2 linked regions of the Medicago truncatula genome follow. The protein of the gene in region 1 binds, or shares a complex with, the protein of each later gene. Links are inferred from orthologs where the notes say so. Each region holds a gene or a part of one and is shown on either strand. Other genes may lie near its edges.

Evidence for each region.
Region 2: vacuolar protein sorting-associated protein 54, chloroplastic (region 1) and vacuolar protein sorting-associated protein 51 homolog share a complex: the UniProt entries of both Arabidopsis thaliana proteins name them as parts of the golgi-associated retrograde protein (GARP) complex. The link is inferred for Medicago truncatula from reciprocal best matches to the Arabidopsis thaliana genes VPS54 and AT4G02030.

The regions. Positions count from the first base shown.
Region 1 is NC_053043.1:20,989,001-20,997,050, forward strand, and holds the start of vacuolar protein sorting-associated protein 54, chloroplastic, read right to left. Parts: upstream 3,680-8,050; 5' UTR 3,476-3,679; coding exon 2,699-3,475; intron 2,028-2,698; coding exon 1,965-2,027; intron 1,248-1,964; coding exon 1,168-1,247; intron 1-1,167. Other genes in the region: uncharacterized protein, read left to right, coding at 7,483-8,050. UniProt on the Arabidopsis thaliana protein: Acts as a component of the GARP complex that is involved in retrograde transport from early and late endosomes to the trans-Golgi network (TGN). The GARP complex facilitates tethering as well as SNARE complex assembly at the Golgi.
Region 2 is NC_053042.1:42,783,546-42,791,444, reverse strand, and holds the start of vacuolar protein sorting-associated protein 51 homolog, read right to left. Parts: upstream 3,464-7,899; 5' UTR 3,315-3,463; coding exon 3,132-3,314; intron 3,046-3,131; coding exon 2,906-3,045; intron 2,704-2,905; coding exon 2,649-2,703; intron 2,501-2,648; coding exon 2,393-2,500; intron 2,155-2,392; coding exon 2,056-2,154; intron 1,943-2,055; coding exon 1,865-1,942; intron 441-1,864; coding exon 363-440; intron 88-362; coding exon 1-87. Other genes in the region: uncharacterized protein, read right to left, coding at 7,620-7,899. UniProt on the Arabidopsis thaliana protein: Acts as a component of the GARP complex that is involved in retrograde transport from early and late endosomes to the trans-Golgi network (TGN).

The DNA of each region.
Region 1 (8,050 bases):
ATTATTCAAAATCATAACAGAGACCAGAGATAAGGGAGGAAAAAACACAGAGAGTTATGGGTAATGTGAAAAACTGAGTTTTAGTTGATGAAAGTGAACGAAAACAAGGTTAGGTGATGGAAGAGAGTGAACGACGGCGAAAACTTCACCGGAAAAGGGAGATGGAATCGCGGCCACTGCTTGGCTAGGGTTTAGCAAAGTTGAAGATGAAAGAAACGCGTTTCGTTTTTACATATAAAACCGGGTTTTATTTTTAACCCGACCCCGGTTCGCGAAACCCAGCCCATATTGGCCAGCGCAGCGCATTTTTTCTTGCGTTTCTGCTGCAGAAACTTGATCCTGACCAAAAAAATGGCAAAAACGACCCAGATCAAGGTCGCAGCTCGTTTGGGTGGGGAAAGCACGTAAGATCGTGCGATCCTACGTGCTGGGACTCGATCCTGGCTACCTTGATCTCAATTGCTGCTTCGTTTCTCTATTATTCTGTATCTCTCTTTTCTTTCTTATTAATCAAAATGATGTGTTTTACTTGGATAGACCAACCTGAATAATCAGCAGCTGACTGAACAAGATTCATGCGGTACAAATGTTTTGTATCCACAGGCACCTATTCTTATAAATTTATATATTCAAAATCTAGGCAAGAATTTATATACAAATTCTTATAAACCTAAGTTAAAATTCACTACTTTTAAATGGGTGCTTTTGGCTTCTATATGGTGCTTAAGGACTCTGAGAGTCAAATTGGTAAACTTGATAAATGTGGATTCATCTTTCTCCACTGTCTTATTTTTCACTTCTGTTTCTTTTAGGATGGCATATTGATTTTCAATGGTTGCATCCCCCTACTTCTTTATCAAAACAATTTATTTTTCTACCATAAGAACAAAAGATTTCACAGATAGGCCAAGTGCAATGCAAGCCCAAAACATTTTTTCAACCCATCAAAGCCATTAGCAGAGTGTAGACTTCCCTATCACCATCTAAAGATCAAAAGCAAAAACAGAGCTATCCAAAGAAACCTTATAATTCAACCCTATTCTCTTCCCATTATTACAGGGGATCAAAAATCACAAAAAGCAGTAGAAAACACTGTCAAATGAATTTTCAGATGCAGGTTAACGGAATACACAATCTTGATAGATCAGGACATCAAAAAAGGTGTACCTGTTTATGGATTCTATAAAGCCTGTCACATGATCTCTAAGATGACGAAAGCAATGCAAGCCAGTGAGCTCGTCTCCATCCTACCAAAGTTACAGGAAACAATAAGACTAAAATTAGCATAAAATTTTCTTCTCGTCCTTCAGGAATCCCATTGATGTTAAAACATAGAATGTGCCATTAACAGACTAAAAAGGAAACTAGATAAGTTCGACAATGTAAGTAATTGATGTCAGCTGTAACTTAAAAGGAAACTGGCACAATTCAATATTATGATTGGTATCTGCTACCCAAACACTGATTGATATCAGCTACACACATTTACTAAGACATTACCCATCCACAATAAGATCGGGTAACATCTAAACATGTTCAGTGCTTATGCAAAGAAAAGGAACATAATACAGTACCTCCGCATATCACAGTAAATATATCGTGATCAATATGGATAATGGAATCAACATAAACCTTCTTTCTAATTTCAATGCTTCAAAGCAATTATAATTGTAGGGGAAAATATATTCTAAGTAGAGGATACCAACTACATTGTATCTAGGATTTTTTGAACTGAATAAAATTTAGGAATTACTTCTGTTGAGTTCTCCATCATATTCTATTAAGTTGACTAAACTAAAAATCATAATAAGTCAAGACTTAAGATACATCCCTAGTCATGATAGGTCAAACACATATAGTGCTGATGAAAAGATAAAGAACAAAACTAAGTCTACGATCATGAAAACAAGAAGTAGTAGTTAAGAATAATATTCAGAAAATATCATATAATAATTAAAGTATACCAGCAAATGTTGCAAATCATCAGTTACATCCAGTGCTCCAGCACAATCTGCAGATGCAACAAGCTGTATCACAGCAAAATATATCAACTTAAAATGGATTTCCAGTTGTCAAACATTCATAAAAAACGACTAAACTAATAAGGGAAACATAGGAAAATCAAACAAAATTATCGCCATACTAATTTTCGAAGAAACCTGTTGCATAAATTGATTAATTACAAGCTCACAGAACTGCTACTACAACAACCCAAAGAAAACTGCAAATAGTTTCCCCACAAATCTCAATAATCCATTAATCCTATTCAGTATAGCTTCCAAATTTACAGCAGTAACACCTCTCCATTCTTACAACGATTCAAAATAAAAACATTCGAAATTCAAAACTCTGAATTATTCACTAGCTAACAGAACTAAAACTGCATAAGATTAACTGGAATATCTGCAGCACCGATAGTACTTCTAATCGAAGGCGTGTCCAGAGTCCGACACACATGTGTGATTACGTTCAATCATGCAATTTTCAGTAATTGTTATCAGTGTTGACGTGTCATTGTTCCACAATTCTCAATAACATTATTCAGTAAAATTTCTAACATTCACAACACCAAAACCTAAACACTTCTCTAAAATCAATGAATTGAATCAAAAAACTCAAAATCTAAAAATGAGGATTGTAAAGCGAAATCTAGCACACACTAACATAGAATCTTCACACAAAAATTCAAAAAACGAACCAATTTGAGAGCAGAGAGTGCTTGATTAACATATAGTATGAGCCTAAGTTTCTGCTGAAGCGCCAACAAATTCGTCCTTGTACCATTAAGCAACTGAATCTGCCTCGCAGACTCAACCAAATCCGAATCAATAAGCCTAACCGTATCCTTCAATTCACGAATCCTCGTACATCCTTCCACGATCTTCCCATTAAGATCCTGCAACTCACCCTGCGCTTCAAAGAACGACGACGATCTCAAAGAGATCTCCTTCACAAGATGAAGCTCAACCACATCAAGATACTGCGAAAGCTTCTCCTGCAAAATCGCGTTCTCAGCAAACGTAGAAAACGGACACGCCGCACGAAACGTAGCGCCTTCTTCGAGATGAAAATCTTGTTTAAAGTATAGCGAAGGAACTTCACGGAGACACGCGACGAGTGCTTCTCCGGCACCGCCGTCGTCGGAGATAGTTGAGATCTCGTTGTTAGCGTGTTTGCGGATTTCGTCGAAGCGGTGGAAGGGATCGGAGAGGGAAGAGAGGTATGGAAGGAAATCGGATCGGGTGAGAGTGGAGGTGGATTTGGTGGAGGAGATAGGGGTGAATTCGGGAGAGGAGATTGTGGTGGAAGAGAGAGGGTTGTTGAGGATGGAAGAGAGAGATTGGATTGTGGAAGAGTCTTTGGAGAATGATGGGGAAGAGGTTGATGAAGATGTGGAGGTTGTGCGGTTGAGATGGGTGGTGGAAAAGGTTGGTGATCTTCCCCACGACGGTTGTTGAGAAGGTGGGGAATCCATTTGGATTATGGAGCGGAGTTAGTTAGAGGACATTGATTTTATAGTGAGGAGTTTTAGTTAGTGAGAGGGGGTGTAAGGGGAGATGGGGGGTGCAAGGGGAAAGGGAAATGTGAATGAAAAAGGTTGGGATCTGGAGGAAGAAGAGAGGAGAGAGTGGAGATTGTTTTTGCAGTGAGGAGGAATGGATGAAAATGGAGTAGTGGAAGTGAAAAGAAAGAAGAAGATCTTTGTATGCAAAAAACCGGTGGTTGAACCGGGTTTGGGATGGTAGTTTAAACCGGTATGGTTTAACTGTAGTGTGTGCCAGTGTGGCTTCAAATCTCTTGCATTAAAAATATCCCAATTAAATTAATTGCCCATAAAAACAATTTATTGGGAAGAGAAAAATATCCCTCCCTCAAAAAATAAAAAAATTCCCTAATATTCCAGTTAATTAATTAATTAATTAATATTTTTTACAATAAAATTAATATATTTTTGTAAGAAGGCAAACTAGTTTATTAAAATTGGCATAGAAGGAGAATCAAATACTTGTAGCACATCCCAAAATCTCAACTCAATCAAAATTAATTAATTAATAATTAAAAATTGTTAATTGTTTTGTCTCATTATAATATATTCTAAATTCTTATTGTAAGTGTAACTGTACATCATTAGATCCTTAACTTATTTTTTGTTTTCATTTTGGGTAGTAATTTCTTTTAAGAATGTTAGGGAAAATGAAAGAAAGATGGCGATGGTGTGGTAGTAATTTTTAGGTTTTTATTTTAAAGAAAAAATTAAAATTATGTTTTTTATTTGAAGAAAAAATTATGTTTTTTGTTCTTCTAAGTTTTTTGTTTTTTCTGGGTTAATTGATGAAGAAGATGAAGAAAAGTGAGAAAAATATTAGGTGTTAGTGGTTCATAATAAAATACAATAGACCCTACCTGATCCAACAATTATCTTTTTAAGAAAAAATTAAAGGGTTAAAATTTAAAAATTTAATAAGGTTTATGATAGACCACCTTTAAATACGGTTCACATTAGACATTTGATGTTAACAACTAACAGAGAGGACCAAAAAATGTAACGGTAAAAGAAGGGATCAGTTTGAGACACTTTATAGTTAGGAGACTAAAATAAAAACAAAAAATAAGTTAAGGGATCAAATGATATATTAAGCCTAAAACCAAAATATATATAGAGTATAAAGTATTATACACAAACAAACCATAACATTCAATACAACTTGGTGTTCACGAACATCCATATTTTTTTTTGGGTTAAATATGTTTTTGATCCCTATAAATATACCAACTATTCGCTTTAATCCCTCTAAAATTTTCATTCAACTTTTAGTCCCTATAAAATTTTCAATCACTACTTTTCGTCCCTATTTTAAAGTTAATTTTAGTATTTTGAATGAAATTGTGCAGAAACGTGTAGAATATTGTAAAAATATTTAAAAAAAAAATAGAATTTTTTAACAAAACATAAATTTAATATGAATTTTTAACGATCAAAAATATAAAAATTTATATTAAATTCATGTTCTTTTAAAAAATTCTAATTTTTTTGGGAGATATTCTTATAATATTATGAATTTTTCTGCAAAATTTAATTCAAAAATACGAATTCTACATATGATTTTATTTTAAAGGAGGGACCAAAAGTGAAGATTGAAAATTTTTAAGGGACTAAAAGTTGAAGGAAAATTTTAGAGGAACTAAAACGAAAAATTGATATATTTATAGGGATCAAAATCATATTTAACCCTTTTTTTTTCTTCGGCACTTGTAGCATCAGCTTTTCCTTCCATATTTCTTGAGTCCACTCTTATTGGTTTCAAGCTTGCCTAGCTTACCTGACTTTTTGACAGACCTACTACGGTTCAAACTATCAGAATAGAGAGATTCAAATTCAACCCTTTTTCTCTTTGACTCTCTTCTACACTTTTTCTCTTTGAATTCAGATTCAGACTCCAAAGGAAGAATATGAGAAGGAATTCCAATTCAGATTTGAATTCGGATTCATTGGTGGTGGAAACTAGAAATTTGGATTCGGATTTTTAGGAAATGGTGGATTTGAATTAGCATGAGTTGGGAAATGGAGTTTTAAGAAAAGGTTAAAGGTTGAAACTTTGGAGGGAAACGAGAAGGATTGTGAGGTTGGTGACGATTTCAGTGATGAGATCGAACGTGGAGATGGTTTTGTGGAAGAGAGGATAGAGATCTGGAGATGGGTGTGAAGGAACGATGATGATTGAGGAAGAAGGAGGGTGATAGGTTTCATTCTTGTGTTTCAATTCTGGATTTTTTTTAAGTAATTGAATCCAATTAATTTGAGATTTTAGTGAAGGATTCAACAAAAAAAATTATGGGTTTGTTTCTTTAAGTTTTTTTTGGGTTTTACATGAACATAGTGTTGAAGATGATGAAGATCAAGAGGAAGAATAAGGAATGAGAAAGAAGAAAAGGAAAATAATTAGATATGGGTGTTAGTAAGGCAACCGATTTCCCCTTCTTTGTTTTTTTTTTCTCCACCCAAGCTTGTTAGTGCTTAGATATGGTTTGTTGGTTAATAATATTTTGCCGTTTCAAAAAAAAAAAAGTTATAATCATATTAAAAATATTATACATTCAAAAACTAACGGAGATGACCAAAATAGTAAACGACGGAAGATTTGAGGGACCAAATTGAAACACTTTATAGTTAGGGGATCAAAATGAAAACAAAAAATAAGCGGACCAAATGATATATTAAGTCTCATAATGAATAATCACTTTCAATTTGATTAGACTTATGGAAAATTAAAGTTGAAAACCAAATAAAAAATCAAATTCATTAACAAACAAAAGAAAATTGAAGTAATATCATTACTATTACTAAATAGATGAACCATCAGAGATACACTTACAACTACTCATTTAAGGTTTGTGGAGAGATTGAGAAAATAAAGAATCAAAGATGAGAGATCGACAGGGAGAAGGGATGGAGGTGTTTCCGATCGCAACATGAATGATGGTGGATGATGAAGGTTCACATTCATGTTCACTGTTTGTCGCCAGTGAGAAAAGAAGACACGTTTAGGAGAAAAAATCATTTCCACAAATTAATGGATAAACTATGACCATTCTATGTCCTCACGTGACCCCGCCTCTATCTCTACATATAAAATATGATGTCCCTAACAACCGAGTGATCATGACAACCGTTCATGATCCATTTACAAAACGTCAATCGATTTATGAACTTTTTATATTAGGTGTATGATGATTTGTAAAATTAATGGATATATCATGGTCCAAGTGAGCACTAACTAACTATTGACTATTTCCCTTCAAAATAAAAAACTGATTCGATGGAATAATCTAATAAAAAAAATAGTACTCCCTCCGTTCCTATATACCTTTTGCATTTTTCAAATTTCTTAAGAAAAGTTGTTAGTGCAATTAATGTGTTTATTTTGTGTGTTAATATTATCAAATTATCCTTTGTTTGTATGCATATTAAATTTGACTTTTTATATTTCAAAACAAGTTAGTAGTATAAATTAGGAGTATATTTAGGAAAAATTAATAAATACATTGTAATTTGAAAAGGGGTTTATAAGAACAAAAATTATTCAAAAAAGAAAAATATTTAGGGATAAAAATAAAGTCAAATGAGGAAGAAGTAGTTACTAGTAATAGTATGTTATGGATTTGATAAATCGCTTGTGTGCAGGGTAAGAACTTGAACCGCTGAAACCTCGCGTCACTTTCACTCACCACCCAGTCGCAGTCTTTCATCGCAAACTCCAATCCTACCTGGTAACTACATTACTCTATTTTTCTTCCCTTTTGTTTCTTTATCGTTTCTACTTTTGTTGTTATCAAACTAGGTTTATTTTAGGAAACTATTGCATTAGGGTCTCTATAGATTTCATTTTTTGAGCTTGGTCAATGAAAATTGAATGTTTTATTGAAAATTTGAAGTTTTGATTTTTGTTAGATATAAAAAAGTTTTAGAGGTTTATTATATCCATGGAAGAAGTAGAAAAGAGGTATATATCCACAGTTGTTGGCGAAACCGTAGACGAGTCTGTGGAATATGGTGGTCAGATAGTTGAGCATTTGAGTGGAGAAGCTGAGATTGAGAATGCCGCCGCAGTTAAGTTGGATAGAGTGGTTTCGGAAAGGGAAGCGAGGTATCAATCAATAGTTGGCACTGACTCTTGCGCTATGGATGCTGCTGCTGAGGCAGCAGGTCACCCGTCGACATCACTATTTGCTGACATTTTGGAAACAATTGATTCAATATTGAACATGCCGTTTGTGAATGATGGTAAAGTTGACCGCAATTCCAGTATTGTTGATATTGAGGAAACGTCGAATTTTGGGAATGATAAATTTGATGCCAACTCTAATATTGTTGTTGATATTATGGAAACGATAGATTCGATATTGAATATGCCAATTGGGAATGATAAAGTTGATGGCAAAACCAATATTGTACATGAAGTTGTCTGTGGGACTGAAGTTGAAAAGTGCAATGCAACGGAGCAAGTAATAGCTGACAAGGATGTGAGTGGTGTTTCTGCTTTGAATGCCG
Region 2 (7,899 bases), on another chromosome or scaffold:
ACCATTGTTTATTTCCTCGGGGCTCAGCTGAATGTCTGTAATGGATTGTTCTAATTTCTCAAGTAATTTTGTCTTCAAATTGTTCACCTGCCAACAAATAGAAAACTTCCTCTCAGGAAAAAAGAAAATAAAAACAGAAAACTTACTATCATATGAACTAAATCAATAACACCAAAAGAAACAATGTTCATTCTCTCTATTAAAAGGAGGGCACACGAAGGACCCAAAACTAACCATACAGGGCAATAAAAAGAAGTATTTCACATCATAAGGCTGGCTCTTTAAAATTAAATATTCAGAAAATATTTACTAGCTACTAGTACAAAATGAAATTCCATAAATAAATAAAAAACAGTACAAACCGGAAAATCCAACTGCTTAAGGAGCACAGCAGCCTCTGCTCTCACTTGTATTGATTCAGAATCTGAGAATAGCTTCCCCTGGTTAGAGAGAAGAAAAAAGTCAGATCACAATACCAATGATAATAAACTAACTATTTGATTTTAGCATAACATTGATTTTAAGTTGACTGTCATCCTATAAAGCAAGGACACCTCTCCAAACTGCTGTGTTGGGTGACATCCCAAACACCCCTTGAACATGCATTGAACAAGTGTCATACACCCCTTAGTAATGCCCAATTAAAAAACTTTTTTTTTTTTTAGCTCAGACATAGCTTGCAGACAGACCAAGGGATTGAGAGCCGACACCTACTCTCGGTAGGACACTTCTATCATTAAAGAAATAAAGATTTTTTAAAAAAATCAACTTATATTATATGTAAGAATATTAACAAATTGAGATCAATTAAAATAAATGAAACACAACCTTTATTCATTGAAATGTAAAGTCATAAAATGATCCTAGTAATTTTAAGAGACACGGTTCATCTTATTTTGGGATTATTTCTATAAGGGTTGGTTACATTATTGAACGAACCTTCTTAGTCTTAGTATTCTTTTTGCATGGGTCATATATATATAGGGAGTGTATCTAGTGAGAAAGCCTATTCTTATGTGAGAGTGAGAGGGTCAATTATCAGCCCTTGGAATAAAATTCATGGTTGAGATTAAATCATCTTACTAAATGAGTTCAGTGAGTCACATGACACTTAATCTCTCCCCTGTTTTCCTCTTACACACCGTTTTCTCCCTTCACCCTTTGTGAACTGCAGCTCCTTATCTTCTACAATCATGGTTGACGATGCTACTTCTATTCTTCCTTGAGCATTAAAATCTCAAATCAAAGACCAACGGGTTTGCTGTAAAAAACATTATGTTTGTGTATTGGATTGAAATTGATTTTCGTTTGTTTTCCCCCTTCTCTCAATGTGTTGGATTGGATTGAATTGAATTACATGAATTGGGAATTTTTTACATGTTTTGCAGGTTTCGATTACAGGAGGTAAGTAAATTAGTCAAAAAGAATTAAAAAAAAAAAAAAAAACTTCAATCTTTCCTCGTACCTAACGTCAATGCAAAGTTGCAATCAAAAGACAAAAAATATTCACTTATGTGCCATTCAAAAAAAAAAATCCCTTATGTAGATGAACATGTAATTGTCAACTATTTCTACTAAAATTATAGATATTATGAAAGACGGTGGCATGGTAGTAGCTGGTGCTTGCTGGTATTTTCCATGTTGATCGTTACTGGTGGAAAGATGAAAAGGCATGAGTGACTATGGACTTGAACAGTTGTGAGAGGTCGTGTGCAAATAAGTTACACGATTATGTTAATTGAGTATTTTGATCTCAACCATTAATTTGAATCCAAGGGCTGATACTCCATATTTCCCCTGGCTTGAAATAATGTTGACTGATAAACCCATTTCTGAAGAGCACGATAAGATGATAGAAGTATACCTGCAAGTTTTTTATTACATTAGCTATTGCTTCTTCAGATGCTTGCTTACAGTCCTTGAATGATGAATCTCCATATGCCTGATAGAGAGAGGATATAACCAAGATATTTCATCTGAGACCTAGATTGATATGTTGCGTGTAAAAGTAATAATCAAAGGATTGAATTAGAAACCATATAAGGAAAAAGCAACCTTAAAAATCGGCATTGCTCCGGTGTAAAACCTGACTGCGTCTGCATATGCCTCTGACTTGATGCACTTGCCAAGTCTATCAGGAAGATCATATATAAACTACTCTTCGACAAGGGTAAAAAGTGTGTCAGTCATATCATATCACAGAAACACTTGTTAAAAGGTAAAACTATCATGCATTATAAAGATGTAGAAAGATTATTCAACACAGGGGCCACACTAAAAGAATAAGTTTTTCATTGTTAGGTCCATTCAGCAAAAATCCAACTTGCATCGGATTTGATATGTGGAAACACAACCATACAATGAACAATGACATGGACAATTGCTTTGATACCTGAACTTTGCGAAGAAGATTACAAGTCCTATGCAGTTTCTCAATATGCTCCCTTTTGTCAAATAGAGAAGTGTTCACATTGTCACTCCTTGACTGAACAGACATTATCTACATTGCAAGAAAAATGCGAATCCTATCAAATTCAACCCTTATCTTCCTTTTTTCATTTCACTTTTCAATAAAAAAGCGCGCATGCGCAAACACACACACACAGTCAAAATGAAATTGAATTCCATAAATCTAATACTACAGTTACCTTGTCGAGAAGCTGTTCCATATTAGTTTCCATCCCTGAAATGTTACTTTTCATCCTGTTTAACAAAACCCAAATACAACGGTTCTTTCACAAAACACACTCTAAATAAAGCAAGAGAAAAAATAGCTATGAAGCACCGACACAAGACACCGAACACAACACTAACACGCCGATAATTATTTGAAATGCAATCGCATGTGTCAGTGTCAGACACACACCGGATACACCTTTGATCAGAAATGTCGGTGTCTACATACCTCTTTATAGTATCCGTGGCGCTGATGAACTTGTTGTAATTCTCATAAACAAGCATTTGCAAATCAGTATCAAGATTCTTAATTTCAGCTGCCATTTCAACATGTCGTTGAAGTAAACCTTCCAAATTCGATTTATAAACCTTCATAATAATCAATTAATTAATCAATCAACCAATTCAGTTCAATTTAATAAAAATTCAATGAAATGCAATGAAACTAATGTTACCAGAATGTTCATGTATTGATCGGGATCGAATTCGGAGGAGTTAATGTCATCGAGAGAAGCGTATTTAGGGGAAGTGATCGCAGAGTTGGAGGAATTGGAAGGGTCTGGAGAGTAGAAACTGGAAAGCAGATCGCGCATTCTCTTTGCTTTATCGTCCAATTGTACTTCATCTGATGTACCCATTTTGAACACTGTTTTTGATGTGTTAAGCGAATTTGATTTCTCTTGCTATGATCTGTGAAATGATGAATTGAAGGTAAACTGGTTTTTGAGATTTGGGGAAGACGATGCTTTTTTTTTTTTTGTTAAGTGAAAATGGACTCGTATTTTAGGTTTGGCCAGTTTTTCTAGTTAGAGTGAATTAATTTCTTTTTCCACCCTAAGCACATCTCGCGCCCCCCTCTAATTTGATTAAAATATCTTTATTGTTATGAATATAAGTAAATAGAGACAGTAATAGAGAGAAGGAGAAGAAGAGAGAAATATTCTTATTCACTAGTGTGTATCAATGTTACAAATGAGCTCTATTTATAGGGAAATAGAGTAGCTTATGAACTAAGCCCAAAACCTAGTAGTATGGCCCACTAACACATTTGCTATTTGGACATCCAATATTAATATTTATAACACTCCCCCTTGGATGTCCATCGAGGATATGCCTCATTAAAACTTACTAAAATAAAACCCCGTGGGAAAAAAAATCTAGTGAAGGAAAAAGAGTACAATATCCTTTTGAGTTTGAATTGCCTCGTTAAAAACCTTACCAGGAAAACCCAATGGGATAAAACCTTGGTGAAGGGAAAAAGAGCGCAGAACACATTTATTTCTCCCCCTCATGAAGACAAATATCTCTTAGACGGCGAAGACCAATTCTTAGTACAAGTTTCTCAAAAACTTTACTTGGGAGCGACTTTGTAAAAACATCTGCAAGATTATCACACGACCGAATTTGTTGAATGCTGATATCACCATCCTTCTGAAGATCATGAGTGAAAAAGAATTTTGGAGAAATGTGTTTTGTTCGGTCTCCTTTAATGTATCCTTCTTTCAACTGAGCGATGCATGCTGTATTATCTTCGTAAATTATTGTTGCATCCATTCTTCCGGAGGATAAACCACAATTCTTTTGGATGTGCTGAATCATGGATCTTAACCAAACACATTCTCTACTTGCCTCATGTAATGCTAAAAGTTCCGCGTGATTTGATGATGTTGCTGTTATTGTCTGTTTCACAGATCTCCATGAAATTGTTGTATTTCCACTTGTAAACAAATAACCTGTTTGTGATCTACCATGATGAGGATCTGATAAATAACCTGCATCTGCATAACCAATTAATTCTAGTTTGGGTACTTTAGGATAAAACAAACCCATATCCATTGTACCTCGAAGATAACGAAGTACATGCTTGACCCCATTCCAATGTCTTTGTGTAGGTGAAGAACTGTATCTTGATAATAGGTTAACAGAAAATGATATATCTGGACGCGTATAATTAGCAAGGTACATTAATGCTCCTATTGCACTAAGATATGGTACTTCAGGACCAAGTAGTTCTTCACCTTCTTCTCGAGGTCTGAAAGGATCTTTCTCCACATCTAGTGATCTAACAACCATTGGAGTAGGCAATGGATGAGATTTGTCCATGTAGAAACGTTTTAACACTTTTGCTATGTAAGTTTCTTGATGCAGAAAAATTCCATTATTTAAATGTTCGATTTGCAATCCGAGACAAAACTTTGTCTTTCCCAAATCTTTCATTTCGAATTCTTTCTTCAGGCAATCTATGGCTTTTGGAAGCTCTTCGGGAGTCCCAATAATGTTTATGTCATCAACATAGACAGCAATTATAGCAAATTTATTTTCAGATCTTTTCATAAAAATACATGGACAAACAGAGTCATTTTTGTATCCCTCCTTTAGCAAATATTCACTGAGGCGATTATACCACATGCGTCCAGATTGTTTTAGCCCATAGAGAGACTTATTTAATTTTATGGAGTAGTCTTCCCTAGATCCTGAACTATTTGTATCAGGTAAGTTAAATCCTTCAGGGATCTTCATGTAGATGTCACTATCAAGTGAGCCATACAAGTAGGCAGTAACCACATCCATCATATGCAAATTTAGCCCTTCATAAGCTATAAGACTAATTAAGTATCTAAAAGTAGTTGTGTCAACTACAGGTGAATATGTCTCATTAAAGTCAATCCCAGGTCTTTGCGAAAATCCTTGAGCAACGAGTCTTGCTTTATATCTTGCAATTTCACCATTTTCATTACGTTTTCGCACAAACACCCATTTATACCCAACTGGTTTCACTCCTTTAGGTGTTCGGACGACAGGTCCAAAGACTTTTCTCTTGTTGAGCGAGTATAATTCTGCTTTAATTGCATCTTTCCATTTTGGCCAATTCTCGCTTTGTTTACAATCTTTAATAGACCTTGGTTCATGATCCTCGTTATCATTCATTACATTTAGCGCTATATTATATGCAAAAATATCGTCAACGTTGACTTCATGTCGGTTCCATTGTATTCCATTAGTGACATAATTTATTGAGATCTCTTGATTTTCATGTATGTCAGGTACCTGATCAGCTTCTTCTGGAACTGAAATATTGATTATGTCAGAAGGGTCTGTTGAAGTTTCTATATCCTCATTTGGGCCGTCTTTTCTTCTAGCTCCTTTTCTTGCACGAGGATTTTTATCTTTGCAACCGATTGGTCTGCCACGCTTCATGCGTGGTTGAGACTCGTTTGCAATATGAGATAGTCCAACAGGAACATTCAATTTTATTGGAGCATTAGCAGCTGGTATGTATGATTTAGTCACACTTTTTGGATCAGTGAATGCATTTGGCAGTTGGTTTGCTAAACTTTGCAAATGAATTATCTTTTGAACTTCCAGTTCACATTGTTTAGTTCGAGGATCAAGATGAGACAATGAAGGTTCATTCCAACTGATCTCCTTTTTCAGCTGCATTTTCTCTCCCCTAATGTTGGGAAATTTGATTCATCAAAGTGACAATCAGCAAATCGAGCTGTAAATAAATCTCCTGTCGTGGGTTCGAGATACTTTATAATAGATGGAGATTCATATCCAACATATATTCCCAACCTTCTTTGAGGACCCATCTTAGTGCGTTGTGGTGGAGAAATTGGAACATACACCGCACATCCAAATATTCGCAGATGGAAAATATTAGGTTCTTGACCAAAAACCAATTTCAAAGGGGAAGAGTCATGATAACTGGTTGGCCGGATGCGAATCAATGTTGCAGCATGCAGAATTGCATGTCCCCAAGTGGAAATTGGGAGTTTACATCTCATGAGAAGTGGTCTTGCAATTAACTGTATACGCTTAATAAATGATTCTGCAAGTCCATTTTGTGTATGAACATGTGCTACAGGATGTTCAATGTCAATTCCAATGGACATGCAATAATCATTGAATGTTTGAGATGAAAACTCAGCAGCATTATCAAGACGTATTTTCTTTACAGGATAATCAGGGAAGTGAGCTCTTATTCTAATTAATTGAGCTAGCAATCTCGCAAACGCCTGGTTGCGAGTTGACAATAAACAAACGTGTGACCATCTTGTTGATGCATCGATTAAAACCATAAAATATCTAAATGGTCCGCACGGTGGGTGTATTGGCCCACAAATATCACCATGTATGCGTTCTAAAAAATTTAGAGATTCACTTCCAATATTTGTTGGTGATGGTCGAGTTATTAACTTCCCTTGTGAACAAGAAGTGCATGAAAATTTATTAGATTGAAGAATCTCCCGGCTCTTCAATTGATGACCACATGAATGTTCAATTATTTTTCGCATCATTATAGATCCGGGATGGCCCAACCGTTCATGCCAAACCACAAAATTATCATGATTTGTAAACTTCTGGTTTACAATTACATTTGCTTCAATTGTACTAATGTAGGTGTAGTACAATCCAGAGGAAAAAGTAGGTAGTTTTTCCAATACACATTTTCTATCTAAGTCATGTTTTGTGATGCAAAGATATTCAACACTTACTTCGTTTCTTGTTTCGAGATGGTATCCGTTTAGGCGAATATCTTTGAAACTTAATAAATTTCTATGAGACTTAGGTGAGTACAACGCATTCTTAATATATAATTTTGTCCCTCCACATAATGATATATTAGCTCTTCCGGAGCCTTCAATTATCTTTATAGTACCAGATATGGTATTAACGGTTGATTCTCCTTTTAATAGGTAAGAAAAATATTTTTTATCTTTGAGAATTGTGTGGGTAGTTGCACTATCAGCGAGACACATTTCTCCATAGCTACTCATTCTATAAAAAAAAAAAAAAGAATAAGAATGATAAGAAATTGTTTAAACGACGAGGAAATAACATTTATTGTCAATAATATTGAGAAATTCAAAGACACACTTAACATGGAGAAATTCAAAACTTTCTAAAACATAAGACTTTATTACTATCATAAAAAAAAACTACTTCTTCACGGTTCCATCTCCAATAAGGTGATCAATTTTTCCATTTGGATCTTCAAAGAAATCACCAATATCCAAAGGAGTAGTATCCAGGTCACCATAAATATCATAATCAGCATCATCACCATCATTATAAGCATAATGAGTTTCAACCTTTTTTCCTTTGTTTTTCAGTGATTGCTGATAAAGGTCAACCAAATGCTTTGGAGTACGACATGTACGAGACCAATGACCTTTGCCACCACATCGATAGCATATATTTTCATTTGTTTTGCTATTT